3 linked regions of the Drosophila melanogaster genome follow. The protein of the gene in region 1 purifies or fractionates together with the protein of each later gene. This does not show direct contact. Each region holds a gene or a part of one and is shown in the gene's direction. Other genes may lie near its edges.

Region 1 (6,566 bases):
GCTTCGGTCATGGTCAGGCTGGCGACACGGCTGCTGGAAGGCTGGGAGAAGCTAGTGTCTGCCACTCCTATTCCTTTCGGCCGACGTGTCCAGGCCGAGGTCCGCTTTGATTGCAGTCGCCAATTAGCGTAATATTCGCAATATGCTTTTGTCTGCGCATTCATTTTTATTATTTTTCCCTCGCCTTCTGAGGCACGCGGCACGCCTTAGGGGCACGAAGGGTCTGCTCTGGTCCGGTTTCCATTCCGTGAATATTGGCCAGCGGTGTCATGGCAAAAAGTTCGCAGCGCCAGATGGTTTTAATTGCTGGTGGGGATGTTTTTTGCCTAAGTCTTTGGAAATTAGTTTAAAGCATTTTGAGCGCGATGGCAAGCAACTAATTGATATTGCTTAATATTTATGGCTTGCCACTTTGGTGGGGGGAGCAGTAAGAGCGAAATGAGCGGAAGTGCAGTGCAATTTAACAAATGGAAAACCCCGGAAATGCAAATTGGAGCAGAAACAGCGACAGTCATGGCAACAAAGTGCTCACTGAAACCGGAGAGTTGCAAAGAAATTAGCCGAGTCGAGTTGAGTCGAATGTGTGTCATGCACTCAACTTAACAGCGCCAACGGCAGGTGATTACCCTGCGTTACGCCCCAAACATTCTCTACTCTTCTGAAGCTGATAAATCCGTGTGACGTACACGCCGTCTGGCTGGTGCCCAACATGGCCGGCCCATCGATACGATTGCGATTCAGATTCATTCACCCGCCATGACACCGATGTGCACACGGTTTTCTTGGGCCGAATGTCCGACGGCCATATCGCTTCGGCACAATGTAAACAATGAGAGTTGTTGGGCCCGGGGGACCTTATCAGTAAGCAGCATAGGCGGGAAAATAGATAGGACGTTGAGCAATCGATATTCTGGTGGAATCAAAACGGCCGAGCGATTAACAGATTTTAAGGGCTTTAATGCTAAGCACACACTCCCTGATGCAACTTAATGGTACACTTAATCCTAGACATTCCTCAAAGTATTCCCTATGTACAAAAGATATGGCAAAGAGAGCTACTCCTCATCCTTGATGCAGTTCTCGACCAAATCCCTCAGATTGGGGTTCTCCATGGCCGCAGCGATGCGCTCCTTGTCATTGATTTGCTTGTTAACTGGGGAAACGTAATCATTTTTACTTAGAACACATATGTATGATAATAGTATCTGGTTGGTCCAACTTACTCTCTTCCTCGGTTTGATGCGCTCCCTTCTTGATGTATATGTCTAGCTTTATGTTGTGCGGAAGTCCGCGTTCTACTTTCACGCGTATACAGAGTCCAATAAGCGTGGCCAACGAGCAATGTGGCACTGTGGGGTTAAACTCGATGCGAACCTGAAAGAATTAAGAGACAAATACCATGCATTTCAACTTTTTACTACACAAAAGATTTATGAGGTGTGGATTTAGTATAATACAAGTACTTTAAGCTATGAGATCAATTTTAAAGTCATTTTGAAGCTAAATCGTTAATCCTTTCAAATATTAAGCAACAATAGTGATGAAAGCAAATAAACACACGCGCAGATTTAACTTATGATGAAATGATGATTAGGGCTCAAGCTTATGGCTTATAAAGATATTGAGTAACGTACAACTGAGACATTGGAGCGCGTGGGCGGCATCACAAAGATTCCATCCTCGTAGACAACGTTGAGGTCCTCCAAAGTGCACGGCTTCTCGGGATCGCGAATGCCGCGCAACAGATCTGTGTAACGACAAGAGAAATTACATAACTAGGCCAAAGTGAAAAAGAATGCCATTAAATATCGAACCGTAGATGGTTTCCTGCAGTTCCGTCTGATTCTTGTAGCCCAGTTCATGGAGCAGTGCGTCCTCCCCGAAGGCAATGGCCTCATCATCCATCGACATCTGGCTCGTTTTGCGCACTAACTCGTCGGCGTTCTGGCTGCGTCCGCTGATACTGGCGCTGCTGCTGCCCGTACCGCTTTCACTGCTGCCCGTTCCGCCCGCTCTCCCACTATCGCCGCCGCACGACGACGTCACAGTTGCGACCGAACTGACGCCGCTGTCGGATTCGGAGAGCTTGCGCTTTATGTAGGACAGCATGTTGTGGCACCTGTGCGTGGTGTTATCTCGCCTGGTTTTATCTTTACCGTTGTGTGCTTGGGTGATTACAGCAGCATAATTCGGTCGGCAGGCGATCTATTTGCTTGGTAATTCTTCACTTTTGCGGTGCAAATTGTTGGAAATAAGCGATGGCATCAGCTGATTATTGTTTTTCTGCCGACCAGGGCTGCAGAGTAGGTATAAGTGCTAAGCCGTCTTCGATAAGTCTATCGATAGTGATATCGATACCCTGTCATCTCTGGCGCAACCATTTGAAATTCGTCATCCCTGATCCTCTTATCAGTTCTTGTCTGCGCTTTTGTCCAAATATTTGTTGTTTACCCACCAATTTTGCCGGCTAATAATTGGAAAAAAATTTATTTACAAGCTGAAAGACTATATTTTATTATAGCAGCGGTAAAAATATTCTGCAAAAAGTTTTCACCTGCACAGTGGGCGTTGTGGCAAGATGTGGACGAGTTGCAGCTGTCTAACCCATCGTACTTAAGTCAAAAACCTCGATTAGCAGGCTTTGCATATGTCAAATTCGCGCACTTTTCCTAGGCCGTCGGGTGCATCAGGAAATTATTCATTACGTTTTAGTTAGTCGTACGAATTGTTTCTTATTTGTGAAAGCTCGTCGAACAGAAGCAAATTTCGCTTTAACCTTTTGAAAAATAAAGGAAAAAGTTCGTAAAAAGCGAAAGAGCCCATCGAAACCAACACGAAAAAGGAGTTCAATAAAGGTGAGCCCAAAAGAAAAGTGCTAAAGTGTGGTGAAAGTGAACATACATACATACACATAAAAACATCTGTGTAAAAGATGGCGCCACTGGAAGAAAACCGTTAGTTGTAGCTTTGGGTTTAATAGACTCTTGAAAATTCGTAGCCCGTCACTTCATATCGAAAATCTAGTGAAAGCGGTTCGCGTTTTGCAAAGGAAATCGGTTCCTTAAAAAAAAAAAATTCTAGTGACTCAGCTAATTTCGTTATCCGAATTTTCTAGATTGCTTTTCGCAGATCATATAAGAAAATGGTTGCCGATAACATCGATGCCGGAGTGGCCATTGCCGTCGCCGATCAATCCTCGTCGCCCGTGGGCGATAAAGTTGAGCTGCCGGCCGGTAATTATATCCTGGTGGGCGTGGATATCGACACCACTGGACGTCGTCTAATGGATGAGGTAATACCCCCTGACTGCCGTTAGATCGTTCGTCGTTCGGTCCTAACCCCACTTGCGATAAACCCACAGATTGTCCAGCTGGCCGCTTATACACCCACCGACCACTTCGAGCAGTACATCATGCCATATATGAATCTGAATCCAGCTGCTCGCCAGCGTCATCAAGTTCGTGTTATTTCGATTGGCTTTTATCGTATGCTGAAGTCGATGCAGACTTATAAGGTGAGTCCAGTGCAGTCCAGTCCATTTAATAGTGGCAGTCAAGTATTGAAGCATCCACAATTCAACATACAATATCCTCTCAGATCATTAAATCCAAGTCTGAGATCGCTGCCCTCAAGGACTTCCTCAACTGGCTTGAGCAACTGAAGACCAAGGCGGGTCCCAGCTCGGACGGGATTGTGCTTATCTATCATGAAGAGCGCAAGTTCATTCCCTACATGATCCTGGAGTCGTTGAAGAAGTACGGCCTGTTGGAGCGCTTCACCGCGTCGGTGAAGTCGTTTGCAAACAGCATCAATCTGGCCAAGGCTTCCATTGGCGATGCCAACATAAAGAACTACAGTCTGCGAAAGCTTTCCAAGATCTTGTCCACGACCAAGGAGGAAGACGCGGCTTGCTCTGCGTCCACATCTGGATCTGGATCTGGCTTGGGATCTGGATCTAGTATGGTGTCCGATTCGGTATCGATATCCCCCAGGGACAGTACCGTGACCAATGGTGACGATAAGCAATCTAGCAAGAACGCCGTTCAGGGTAAGCGGGAACTGTTTGATGGCAATGCCAGTGTTCGTGCCAAATTGGCCTTTGATGTGGCCCTTCAGCTGAGCAACTCCGACGGCAAGCCGGAACCAAAAAGCTCGGAGGCATTGGAGAATATGTTTAATGCCATACGTCCGTTTGCCAAGTTGGTGGTGTCCGATGTCCTGGAGCTGGATATCCAGATCGAAAATTTGGAGCGTCAAAACTCCTTCCGTCCGGTGTTCCTGAACTACTTCAAGACCACTCTGTACCATCGTGTGCGTGCCGTAAAGTTCCGCATTGTGCTGGCCGAGAATGGGTTCGATTTGAACACGCTAAGTGCCATCTGGGCAGAGAAAAACATCGAGGGCCTGGACATAGCCCTGCAGTCAATTGGCCGGCTAAAGAGCAAGGACAAGGCGGAGCTGCTCGAGCTTCTGGACAGCTATTTCGATCCCAAGAAGACCACGGTGAAGCCGGTTGTCAAGGGTAACAGCAACAATAATAACAATTATCGTCGTCGCAATCGACGCGGCGGCCGCCAATCGGTGAAGGACGCTAGGCCATCCAGCTCCCCATCGGCTAGCACCGAGTTTGGAGCAGGAGGTGACAAGTCGCGCAGCGTTTCCTCGTTGCCCGACTCTACTACCAAGACTCCCTCGCCAAACAAGCCGCGTATGCACCGTAAGCGCAACTCGCGTCAAAGCTTGGGTGCAACCCCCAATGGACTCAAGGTTGCTGCTGAAATATCCTCCTCAGGCGTGTCTGAGCTCAACAATAGCGCTCCACCTGCCGTAACCATAAGCCCAGTCGTGGCACAACCCTCACCGACACCGGTGGCCATCACGGCCTCCAACTAAAATCCAGTTCTGGTGGATCCGTAAAGTAAATATCTTATATTGAGATACTTCTGCCATTTGCTTTGTAGATAACGTAGTTAACGAGGGGTAAGCCTTCATGTAGATTGTTGATTAATTTTATGAATTGCGTACACTTGCTTGTATTTTTAATGAATTTTATGCATCAAATATATTGATAAAAATGTAGCCTTTTTTAGCTAAATGTAAAAGGTTTTATTACATATTTTCAATATAAACTCACAACGCTTAAGCTAATCATTCAAATCACTTTGGGATTTTCGGGATTGAGTTTCCTAACCGACATTTTGCCATTTCAGTATATCAAAAAATGGATGATCAAAACACAAGAAGACAAGGGCAGAGAATGGAGATTTAAACCACATACGAACTTTCTTCCTTTTAGAAGATCTAGTGCAGACAAGCTTTAAATTCCAGTGGAAGCAAATTTCCCGTGAACACAACAAACACATCCGCGCACAACTCACGAGCACGTTGGTGTATCGATAGTGTGAGTAAACCGTGACTGTGACGTAAACAGTGACTGTTGAATAGTGATGACACAAGCTTCAAGCGACATTTTTGAAACGAGTGAATTGTTAATCGAGACGTTTGAAAACTATATTGTCCAGCATAGGGAGGATGCTGAGCCCACTGTAAACTCAAGAGACTATATATCCACACTTTAAAGCAGCGTATGCTAGAAATAATGATGGAGAAGAAGGAACAACAAATATGATGTACAATTAAGAACTCGCTGCGTTTAGGCATAGTTTTCCCGGCGAACCGATGCACATCGCCGCACTCAAATGGGAGATTGGGAAAATATGATCCAAAACGAAACGCCTCGATGAAAATTTTCCATTGGACGGGCCTGTCGACGCACACTATCAAAACTCTATGAATAAAACCCAAGATCCAGGCCTGGTCCAATGTAGAAAACTTTCACATTGAAGCTAAAGAAAGCACGATATAAAAATACACCAATCTAATACAGTTAACCTTACGCACGCACACGCACGCACACAGAAAGCATATTCAATTCGCACACTTAATCTAACCCAACACTTGTGAACATATCCAGTATTTCAAGCTGTATTTCATATATGTTTCATATTTACAATCAACAAACATATGTAATATCTGCAAAGGGCGCGAATAAACGAACGATAAACTAACGAATCAACAAACATATGTAATATCTGCAAAGGGCGCGAATAAACGAACGATAAACTAACGGTCAGCCTATCGCGCCGAGTCACTGTTTTCACTCTCGCAGGTGCACCGCTAGGTGTGACCGTATTGCCGCCTGGCCTGGAAAGAGTGGGCCTGTGTGGATTGCTTCCATACCCATACCTGGTGATCAGTGATCACCGATCAGTGCAGCATCGTCCATTTCCCGGCCAGAATGGACGTCGATCCCGCAGAAGAGGCGCCTCTAGACGAGGCACATACGTCCATATACGACGGCTATCCGCCCGATTTCGGCTACTTCAACATGGCCCACGGAATGCTGGTGGAGATCTCCGAGGAGATCCGGGCCAAGTTTCCCCACGAGCCGCGTCTACGTTTCTCCCAGCTAAACAACCTTCACCTAGCGGCCCGCAGTGGTCAGATGTTGAGCTTCGTCGAGATCTTGAATTCGGTTAGCTGCAGGGCGGTGCAGACCCACCTGG
Region 2 (4,286 bases), 3.2 Mb from region 1:
AGGTTTTTGGTCACCAGAGCAGTGCCATTGATGTACAGCAGATCGAAGATGTAGACACAGACTTGGACCTTGATTTCCTCGATATCAACGTTCTTCCGTTTGCGCGTGCTGAGCACCTGAAACGGCAGAATCTGCTTGCGCTCCACATCCCAGGCCACAATTTCGCTGTCTATGATGTAGGACTTTACGTCGCCCTTGAGCAAGGCAGTGCTCCTGGCAATCAAATCCGGATATTTTGCCGTGTTGTTCTCGGAGTTGCGCGAGAATATGCTGATCTCCCCCTTCTCGTTGCGGTGGATTTGGGCCCGCTCTCCATCGTATTTCCACTCGCAGGTGATTTGCATGCCGCCGAATCTCTCAAATACCTCATGGACCCCCTTGGTGGGCTGGGCGAGCATGGGCCTCAGCGGCATGCCGGGATGCATGGGGCAGCGTTCCTGCAGCTCCTTAATATCGTACTTTAGAATGGCCGGTATAATGATATCGTAGTTGGGACACTGACTGCAAAAGTTCGTTAGCATCTGAATTATTAGCTGGTTCTTAAGTTAGTTCTTACCAGTATGCAGTTTTCAACAGCAAAGTGGTGTCGACTATTTCATCCTTATACACATCCGGCACCTTGCTAGCCTTGCAATCATCGATGTGGTTCTTTTTCACCAAACCAATGGCCAGCGCTGTGAGCAAACTCTGCTCTGCAATGCCAATTCTTAGCTTGCCAATCAATGAACGGATAAAGAAGCGAGCCTCCGACGATCGACAGGCCACAAACATATTGTACACCAGGTCCATTTTCGACTGACCGGATAGCTTGGCTATTTCGCGTAGCTTCCGGAACACATCCCTCACATTCAGAGGCGCTGGCTGGAACATCATGCGCTGTGAAACGCGCGACTGCTCGGCCACGATGCCCAGATCCCCGGTTAGCTGCGTCTGCGATTTAATGTGAGCCAAATTACGCCCCGTTGCCTTGCAAATGGCCTTCATCAAGGTGGTCTCGGCAACGCCCAGCTCCAGTCCCTCGTAGGCGGGCGCCAGTTGGTTGATGCTGAGGTAGACGCTGGGCACAAGATCCTCCGGACTGACCAGCATCACAGAGCAGAAGAAGTTGCTCAGCGTGTCGATCATCTTGAGCCGGCCTTTGGTCTCCTCGATTACTTGAAATGTGCGGGCCAGTGCCAAGTAGGGAGTGCTGGAAAGTGTTTCCTTTGATATAATTCGCCTTGGAGGCTCAAAATCCTGCACTACTTACACCTTTTTGTCCTTCCAGTAGGCATTCTTGAGCGGATGATAGGAGTCGGCGGATGGATCGTAGTTTTCCACATCCTCCTTAGTAGCGGCAGTGGAGTTGAGACCTATGGTTGTGACCTTCTTGTCAGTGGTCTTGTCATCGACTTCCTTTGGTTCCTTCTTAACATTTTTCACCGGACTTGTCTTCTCCTCGGAATCCACAGACATAGGTTCTACCTTGGGCTTAGTTTCCGGGGAGGCACTTTCGCTCTTGATGTGGGGTTCATCTGGGAGTTCGGTCTTCGCATCAATCCTATGATTTGTCGAGGAATTTAGTAATGAAACAAGAAAACAGCGGCACCATTTACTTAGGAACTTTCTTGGGCGGCGAGGGGCTGTCGGTGGCATCGGATTTCTTCTTGAAGAAGGAGCTGAAACGGGGGATTGTTAGATTGGCAATACTTAGCATTTGTTAAATCGTAAATTACGTTATAGACTTTTGCATTTTGTGGCAATTCTGTGTTCAAATAAATACAAATTGCAATGCAATTAGTTCCCGCCAGTTTCTAGAGCTGGTCTTCAGTATCGATATATTGAAATGGAAATGCTATCGAAGTTGAAAATTTTATTAGTAAACATAAATTAAATGTTTATGCTACATAATTGAGAAATATTATTACGTACAATTGTGGCCATTTTTATATGCAAGTCAATCGACTTAATATTTCTCAAACAAATCATTAATAGACAAAAGGAAGAGTTTATTGTCATTCGGTGTGACCGCAGCACAGTCGTTGATAAACACGGGAAAACATCCACGGGGCAGTGTGACCAGAGCGCCGTTAAATTCACAAATAATTGCAATTCGCAATAGCACAGCCAAAACTGAAGATTACATACAATTTACAATGGCCGACGAGAGCATCACGCGAATGAACCTGGCGGCCATCAAGAAGATCGACCCGTACGCCAAGGAGATCGTGGATTCGTCCTCGCACGTCGCCTTCTACACGTTCAACTCGTCGCAGAACGAGTGGGAAAAGACCGATGTGGAGGGAGCCTTCTTCATATACCACCGCAACGCGGAGCCCTTTCACAGCATCTTCATCAACAACCGACTGAACACCACGTCCTTCGTGGAGCCCATCACCGGCAGCCTGGAGCTGCAGTCGCAGCCGCCGTTCCTGCTCTACCGCAACGAGCGCTCGCGCATCCGCGGCTTCTGGTTCTACAACAGCGAGGAGTGCGACCGCATCAGCGGCTTGGTGAACGGGCTGCTCAAGTCCAAGGATCAGGGAACGAATGGCCAGGCCCAGCGTCACGTCTCCGCGCCCCAGCAGCCAAAGCAGGACAGCAGCCAGCCGGCCAGCATATTCAACATGCTGACCAAGGCCCAGAAGGACTACAATGCCCAGGTGAGCGGCGGGCAGCCGAAGACGCCTTCGGCGGAGAACGTAACGGCCGGCAATGTGTTGAAGTTCTTCGAATCGGCCAAGCAGGCCACGGCAGAGTCACTGTTCCACCGCGTCCAGCCGCTCTCCGTGGACCAGCTGGAGAAACAGCAGCGGGCAGCCACGCCTGGCGAGGATCTGTTGCCCCCGGCAGGCAGGGACAATCACGAGAGCCGGCTGTCGCCCTTCCAGAAGATGCAGCAGCTTAACATTCAGCTCCTGAGCGACCTGAAGATCGGTAAAAGCTACGCTACGGCTCAATCTCCGACAGTCGCCCCGTCCTCGTCGGCGCTGATGGCCAACGACGATGCCGGCAAGTGCTTGCGGAGACTGCTGGCTGGCGACAAGCCCGGGCCGGCCCTCATGCCGCCCACCATGTTCGACGCGCCCAACAACGGCAATCCGGAGCCACAGCAGCCACAGCAGCCACAGCAGCCACTGCTGAACTCGACGCAGTTCGTCCAGGCCTTCACGTACCTTATCCAGAACGATAAGGAGTTTGCCAACAAGCTGCACAAGGCCTACCTGAACGGCTGTTCCAATCTACTGCTGGACTCCAGCTCCACATATCAATAAACAGAAATATTCAACATTTCCGAATTGCAGCCCATATTTTCATTTGTTCGCATGGAGTTCGAGTTCAAGCCGAGTTAATTTACAAAATGTAATAGCTGTAAGCCGACAAGGGCAGTCGTAGATTTAAAATCTAGAAGCCCCGCCGGAGAAGGACGGCATCCATTTCCAGAGCAACCTTAAGAGTTAACTAACGTAGTTGGTTTTGTGAAGTATTCGTATTTATTTACAAAATGGTTAACTAGGCCGAAGGGGCGTAGAAAAGGTAGTTGAATGGCAAACAGAATTCAATAAACATTAATTTAGTAACAATAAATAACAACGCTTTTATTTAGGCCAATACCTTCAGCTTGCAGAGCAGGTAGTACAGAAAACAAAACAGCCACAGGCTGAAGTCGACGTGGCTCCTGCCCGCCGCCGCGGACGTGGCCACCGTGGTCAGGTTCTTGCCGTATCCCTCGAAGGACACCACGCACTGGTAGGCATCGGGATCGTCGTCGGTGTCGTAGGCCGCCACCACGGCGCTGCCATCGAAGTATCCCTCCTCGTTCTCGTACACCATGGGCTCCCGCTTCACCACGTCCATGTCGTTGGATCTGTAATAGGAGCGGAGTTGAGTTGGGACGTTGTTTACTACAAGGCTGTCTTACGACAAGGCAGGCGCTCGTCCTTACATTATCGTGATGGTGGGCCTGGGATACACGTTCGTCACGGTGCAGTTCAGCTGCGTCTCATTGTGGATCGTCTTGTGGGACAGCTCCAGGGTGTAGTTCCTCAGGTCTATGACCTGAACCCTCTGGTGGCTGGAGAAGGTGTTCAGCGAGGTCTGCACCACGCACTTGTAGTCGCCGGTGGTGGCGATCGTGGGGTTGATCAAAGCCAGCGAGCTGTACTGCTTGCTCGGCTCCGTGGAGCTCTCATAGGTGCTGTCAATCTCGTTCCTGAACTCGGGCTATCAAGGAGGGGAAAGCGGTTAGTATCTTAAGCGCACCACACCGTTTGGTTCACTCACGATGGCATATGGAGGTGTTCCGA
Region 3 (6,331 bases), on another chromosome or scaffold:
ATCTGTACCGCTGTGCCAGCTGCCCGGCATCCTTCGATGCGGATTACTCTGCCTTGGAATTGGATCTCTATCGGTGTGTGGGCAGTAGACTGCCCGTAATCACACGGAACATGGAAGCACATGAGCTGGAACCATTTAGACGAACGGACAGCCTAAGCATCTTTCAAATTCCGGCTGCCGAAAAGGGTGATTCCTTGGTACGCCGCATCCTGGACATGTTGAATCCTCACCAGAGGCGCAAGCATATGCACAAGTATCTGTTTGTTTGGCCAAATGCCGGAAGGCATCAGTTACTGCGACTTTTTCGCGGCAGTTGGGCCAAGAAGCTGCTCTACGGATTGGCCATTACCGGCAGGGAAAATGGCACCTTTGACTTTGATCCCTTTGCTTGGGGTGGTCTCCAAGTGATTCAGCGGCTGGATGGCGAAGTGCCGTACGCAAGAAAGGTGAAGGACTTGCGCGGCTACCCATTGCGTTTCTCCATGTTTACGGATCCGTTGATGGCGATGCCCAGGAGTCCTGTGGAGACAGCTGGCTATCAGGCAGTGGATGGAGTGGCGGCCCGAGTTGTTGGCGAGATGTTGAATGCCTCAGTAACATATGTCTTCCCGGAGGATAACGAATCCTACGGTCGTTGCCTTCCGAATGGAAACTACACCGGCGTGGTCAGCGACATAGTCGGTGGTCACACCCACTTTGCACCCAATTCCCGCTTCGTGCTCGACTGCATTTGGCCAGCGGTTGAGGTGCTGTATCCCTATACCCGTCGCAACCTGCACCTGGTCGTGCCCGCCTCCGCAATCCAGCCGGAGTACCTGATCTTCGTGCGTGTCTTTCGGCGAACTGTGTGGTACTTGCTCTTGGTCACCCTTTTGGTTGTGGTGCTGGTCTTCTGGGTGATGCAACGTCTGCAGCGAAGAATTCCCCGTCGCGGAGTCATCCAGTTTCAGGCAACGTGGTATGAGATTCTCGAGATGTTCGGCAAGACACATGTGGGTGAACCGGCGGGCAGGCTATCCTCCTTCAGCTCGATGAGAACGTTCCTCATGGGTTGGATCCTCTTCAGCTACGTCCTGTCCACCATCTACTTTGCCAAACTGGAGTCCGGATTTGTGCGACCAAGCTACGAGGAGCAGGTGGACCGAGTGGACGATTTGGTACATTTGGATGTGCACATTTATGCGGTGACCACGATGTATGACGCAGTTAGGAGCGCCCTGACGGAGCACCAATACGGTCTGCTGGAGAACCGTAGTCGCCAGCTGCCACTGGGAATAGCCACATCCTATTACCAGCCGGTGGTCCGGCGCAGGGATCGACGAGCGGCCTTTATCATGCGGGATTTTCACGCCCGTGACTTTCTGGCCATCACCTATGACTCGCAGGCAGAGCGACCAGCCTACCACATCGCCCGGGAATATCTGCGCTCTATGATATGCACCTACATCCTACCAAGAGGATCGCCCTTTCTGCACCGCTTGGAATCTCTGTACAGTGGCTTCCTCGAGCACGGCTTCTTTGAGCACTGGCGTCAAATGGATCTGATCACCCGGGTTGGTGCGTCGCCGGATGCTGAGGAGTTTCTCGAGGATCTGGGCGACCAGACGGACACGGATTCCGGCTCCAACGAGTTGGCGATTCGTAACAAAAAGGTGGTTCTCACTCTGGACATCCTGCAGGGCGCCTTCTATCTCTGGTCCGTGGGGATTGGCATAAGCTGCTTGGGATTTGCAGTGGAGCACGCTCATTGGTTTTGGCGGAGACAGACACTTCGGAATGCGGTTGAAGCTAGAACAAGCTAACTAAAAATATTAAAAATTACTAAATAAAAGGTACATATATGTTTGTTATTGTAAATACTATACTAAGTTTTCAATAAATTTCACCGCTGTTTAGTTGGACATGTTGTTTTATACATTTTAATGATAAAACTGTAGTTTTATATTATTCTAACCATTTAATGAATTTAACCATTTATTCCAATTAACCTTTCTTGTAAATTTAAATGTAACGGCTTTTTATGTTGTTATGGCTTAACATTCCGCGCGTAACAGCACACTGGAGACCCCCAGTATCAGAGCATCGATAGCACCCATCGATAGTCCGATCACCAGCAACCCTGCCTCCGGCTGTCATGTTTCACTTCCGGAGCTTGCGAACAAAATAGAATCGCTAAGGCAAAGAAAACCCTGCGAGTGGCGAGTGTTTTAAGATCACACTCAAAAACAACATCCAAAGTGGTTAGTGGCAGTTGAGAGAGTGCCCAAGACCCCGAATACCAGCCGGGCAGACACGAACAACACCAGCAGCAGCAGCACCACCATCATCAACAGCAGCAGCAGCATTTCCCGCTTTTCGTTTTCGTCGTCGCCGAACAACAAATAACAAAACCACGACAAACGATGGCTGATGCCGCGGAGAGTAAGCCACTGGCCGCCGAACAGCAGCAGGCGCAGCAGCAGCCGGAGCAGCAGCAGAATCCGCCGAATCCGCAGGAGCAGGATCACGAGCAGGAGCCGCTGGACGAGCTGCAGGGACAGCAGGGCCAGCCCGCTCCGCCCACCAAGGAAGTCATCGGTAAGGCTGAAACTCGCATGTTAAACCCAATTCCCAACCAATTTCATTCATGTGCCGCGAACACATGGCGGCTGCTACCAAAATAGCAATGAAAAAAAGGAGGAAAAAAGAACAAGAAACATGCCTCCCTGTATGCGTGTGTGTGTGTGTGTTTTGAGTCTTAAAATATACGCGCGTCGGCCATTTTGTGCGGCCAAAGGCAACGCAACGCATGTATATATGTATGTGCACGAACGCTCGCGCCGCCGGCTAACCAAATTGAAAATTCTGCCTTTTGCCGGTCGTCTGTCTTTCCACCCACCCAACCACCAACCCCACCCGCTTCGCCTCTTTAAAAAATGCCCCCCCATAGGTGTACACACACACACACATACACACATGCAGAGCGAGCCAGGGCAACCCAATTTGTTAATGCGCGCGCAGCGGGAGTGCGAACGAGAGGGCAGACAGCCGGGTGTGGATGTGTGTGTTCATTGTTTTGGTACATCTATTTGCACACACACACTAAAACGCATGGAAGCATGGCTATAAGGCGATTTCAAAACACGAGACCATAATGCAACCAATAAGATACAATAATATTCGGCGACTATTACAATATATTGCCAAATAATTTGGGATGCCACTATATTTTCGCGTAAATCAACATATTATATGCATACTTATATGGTTTATTCGAAATTTTGGTAACCATAGTTTTAAATAATTGTTAACCAATAATTTGTGGTTATAAAACGTCTTTCAATGTTATTGCACGCTTCAATGAGTTTTCAAACTGCGTATTAGTTTAGTTTCAGATGTATTGCGTTTTGCCCCTCCTTTATAATAAAAAAAAAATGCAAAGTATTATCTCAAAACTACCCCTTTTGTATAATTTAAGTTTCTTATGTAGAATTATTTGTATTTTAGAAGTCAGCTCGCTGTGCATCCCTACTGTTCCCTAATATTTTTGTTGCATGTATAATGTTTAAAGGATTATAATATTTGATAAAGGAATGATTGCAACTGATCCCAAACAAGTATTATACCATTGAAATCAATTAAATGATCACACGTTTGTAGAATAAGTACCGCCAAAAATATTGAATCCCACTATTATCCCCAATTGTTTATAATTTCTACTCTTTCCCATTGCAGCCACCAAAGTCACCGGCACCGTCAAGTGGTTCAACGTGAAGAGCGGCTACGGCTTCATCAACCGCAACGACACCAGAGAGGATGTCTTTGTGCACCAGAGCGCCATTGCGCGGAACAACCCCAAAAAGGCGGTCCGCTCGGTGGGCGACGGTGAGGTCGTTGAGTTCGACGTGGTCATTGGTGAGAAGGGCAACGAGGCGGCCAACGTGACCGGTCCCTCCGGTGAGCCGGTGCGGGGCAGTCAGTTTGCAGCGGACAAGCGCCGTAACTTCCGTCCCTGGATGAAGAAGAATCGCCGCAAGGATGGCGAAGTGGAAGGCGAAGACGCCGAATCGTCGGCCCAGCAGCAACAGCAGCAGGCGGCACCAATCGTTGACGGGCAGCCGCAGCAGCAGGTGCAGTCCGGCCCGCGTCAACCACGACAGAACTTCCGCCGAGGACCACCCGGTGGACCGCCCGGAGGACCTCGAGGTGGCCCCCGAGGACCGCCTGGTGGAGCTCCCGGTGGCCCCCGGCGCTACAACAACTATTATCTGCGTCAGCCGAGACGCGGCCTGGGCGGCGGTGACGGCAGCGCCGAGCCCGGTGTCCACGATCAGAATCCCGAGGGTCTGCAGCGCGGCGAGGGTCAGGGACCACGTCGCGGTGGAGGCCCACCGGGCGGACCCCAGAGGCGCTTCTTCCGACGCAACTTCAACAATGGTCCACCGCCACCACGCCGCGACGGCGGAGAATACAGTGAGTGAACTTTGTGCTATTAGATAATTGGTATATATTATTATTAATATTATTCTGTTGCAGTTCAAGGCCAGGGACCGCCACGCCCACAACAGCCACGTCCACGTCGCCAGAGGAAACCAAATGGCCCTGGCGGTGGTTCGGAGCAGCAGCCAGAGAAGGTAATGAACTAATCACCAGCATCATCACAACAGCAGAAACAACTGAAACATCTTCGCCGAAACAAACCTACGATAACAACATCTAAATTAGTAAACATCAGCAACAGTCAGTCGCAAGCATAACAACAAGGTCTACAATAATAACATGGTGAAGGCGTCTTAAAAACTAAACAACTAACTAAAGTGCATTGTGTAGATGCATTCGTAAATAACCACTAACAACCAGAGCAGCCACACGCACCGACACCAAAAGCAGAGAAACAGCGATAAAGCGGAGAAACCACCCTAACATTTAACACTTTACACTTAACTTGGAGGCTTTGGGTCTAACATAACATTCTAATACATTTAGTTTTTAGTTACCTAACCTGTGACTAATTGGCTAACAAGCAACACACACACACTTAATTTACAACCGAAACCAGCATTTTGCTTTCATCCCTTCGATTTATTTTTGAAGTTGTACTTACGTTAATGATTTCTACCCCCCTCGCCATGTTTTCCCATGTTCAAATTCCTAGAACGGCGCTCAAGAGCTGCAAAATACAACCACAGAGAGCACTGCATAGAAAAGGATCCGAAAGGATCTAAATCGTCAACCGACAAACAAAAACATCGTCAGCAGTAGCCGCAGTATATAACTACAATCGCAGAAAAACAGCAGCAGCAGCCCATCCTCAACATCAGCGACCAATGCAACATCATGGTGCAATAAGATCAGCAAATGTTGCAGCAAATTTTGCTAAATGAGCCGCCGCGTTTTTTCGGTTTGTTTGCTTTTTGTTTAGTTTCGTAGGGCAGAGAATCAATTGTACAACTCATACCACAACAAAACTAACATCCTCAAAATTTCAATCAAATTCAAAAACAAACAAAAAATTGTATAAAATTTCCATCAAGCCTGGCCGTCGTCAAAAAATTGCATAATTGTGGAATTTTTATTGTATGAACCAACAAACCAAACACGAAAACATAAATAAATTTCAATTACACTGCAATTTAGATGGCGCCGGTATACAATTTACTTTAATGATTATTACCATTTTTTATTTATTTATTCTTGAAAGCATTGTTACCCGTTGTGCGTTAAGCAAACCCATAACTCTAAGTTACTCGATTTAAAGATCATTAAAAACGTAAACCTATACCAATAACCACACCACCACTTTGTCCCATTTATGCATCATCCGAAATCGAGAACCATAGCCATCGGGCGAAAAGAAATGAAAGCAAAGCAGAGCAAACAAACAGAAGAACGAAATCATGTAAATCACAGCAAACAAACATACAAAAAAAAACTGTAAAAGATGCAAAAATATACAACAAACGCAAGATGGCAACAAAGGAAAGTAAAAAAAAAAACTTTAAAAACGTATTGGAAAAAATAAAAAAATTGAAAAACACTTTTTGGTATTGTTTATTTGTGTAAATTCTAAACTAAAGTGTAGTTTATAAATGTTTACTTAAATCGCTATCGAATATATTATTTTATATATTTATTCTAATTTTTATTATTTATTTATTGGGGATCTACGTTAAGTGAGCAAATCATTGAGTCTGCAATATAAATAAATTCTTAAGCTAATTTACATATGCGGTATTGGCATGGTGAGGTGCTACAGGTTTGTGGTCAAGGATGTGACCGTGGAAATGCTCAGTCGCTCCAGACGACCCAAGACCAGTAGTTCATCTATGGAGCGCTTGGCGTAGAACTTTTG

What was found. Proteins that work in one complex are often made in the same cells at the same time.
Region 2: the proteins of exu (region 1) and DCP1 purify together in Drosophila melanogaster (affinity purification with western blotting, with the first as the bait; one study listed by BioGRID). This does not show direct contact.
Region 3: the proteins of exu (region 1) and yps purify together in Drosophila melanogaster (affinity purification with western blotting; one study listed by BioGRID). This does not show direct contact.

What each region holds. Positions count from the first base shown.
Region 1 is NT_033778.4:20,666,927-20,673,492, reverse strand, and holds exu (exuperantia), read left to right. Parts: upstream 1-2,731; 5' UTR 2,732-2,855; exon of another isoform or gene 2,856-2,857; intron 2,858-3,001; exon of another isoform or gene 3,002-3,115; 5' UTR 3,116-3,142; coding exon 3,143-3,292; intron 3,293-3,361; coding exon 3,362-3,514; intron 3,515-3,597; coding exon 3,598-4,893; 3' UTR 4,894-4,918; exon of another isoform or gene 4,919-5,141; intron 5,142-5,210; 3' UTR 5,211-6,066; downstream 6,067-6,566. Other genes in the region: galla-1, read right to left, coding at 1,056-1,153, 1,224-1,374, 1,635-1,747, 1,815-2,109; Fem-1, read left to right, coding at 6,299-6,566. UniProt on the Drosophila melanogaster protein: Ensures the proper localization of the mRNA of the bicoid gene to the anterior regions of the oocyte thus playing a fundamental role in the establishment of the polarity of the oocyte. May bind the bcd mRNA.
Region 2 is NT_033778.4:23,888,042-23,892,327, reverse strand, and holds DCP1 (decapping protein 1), read left to right. Parts: upstream 1-2,051; 5' UTR 2,052-2,135; coding exon 2,136-3,254; 3' UTR 3,255-3,564; downstream 3,565-4,286. Other genes in the region: DNAlig1 (DNA ligase 1), read right to left, coding at 1-501, 557-1,189, 1,250-1,540, 1,596-1,658, 1,716-1,732; CG5597 (uncharacterized protein), read right to left, coding at 3,583-3,847, 3,926-4,203, 4,264-4,286.
Region 3 is NT_037436.4:12,120,958-12,127,288, reverse strand, and holds yps (ypsilon schachtel), read left to right. Parts: upstream 1-2,138; 5' UTR 2,139-2,402; coding exon 2,403-2,577; intron 2,578-3,714; coding exon 3,715-4,452; intron 4,453-4,515; coding exon 4,516-4,613; coding exon of another isoform or gene 4,614-4,625; exon of another isoform or gene 4,626-5,134; coding exon 5,135-5,182; 3' UTR 5,183-5,609; downstream 5,610-6,331. Other genes in the region: Ir68b (ionotropic receptor 68b), read left to right, coding at 1-1,802; CG11560 (uncharacterized protein), read right to left, coding at 6,230-6,331.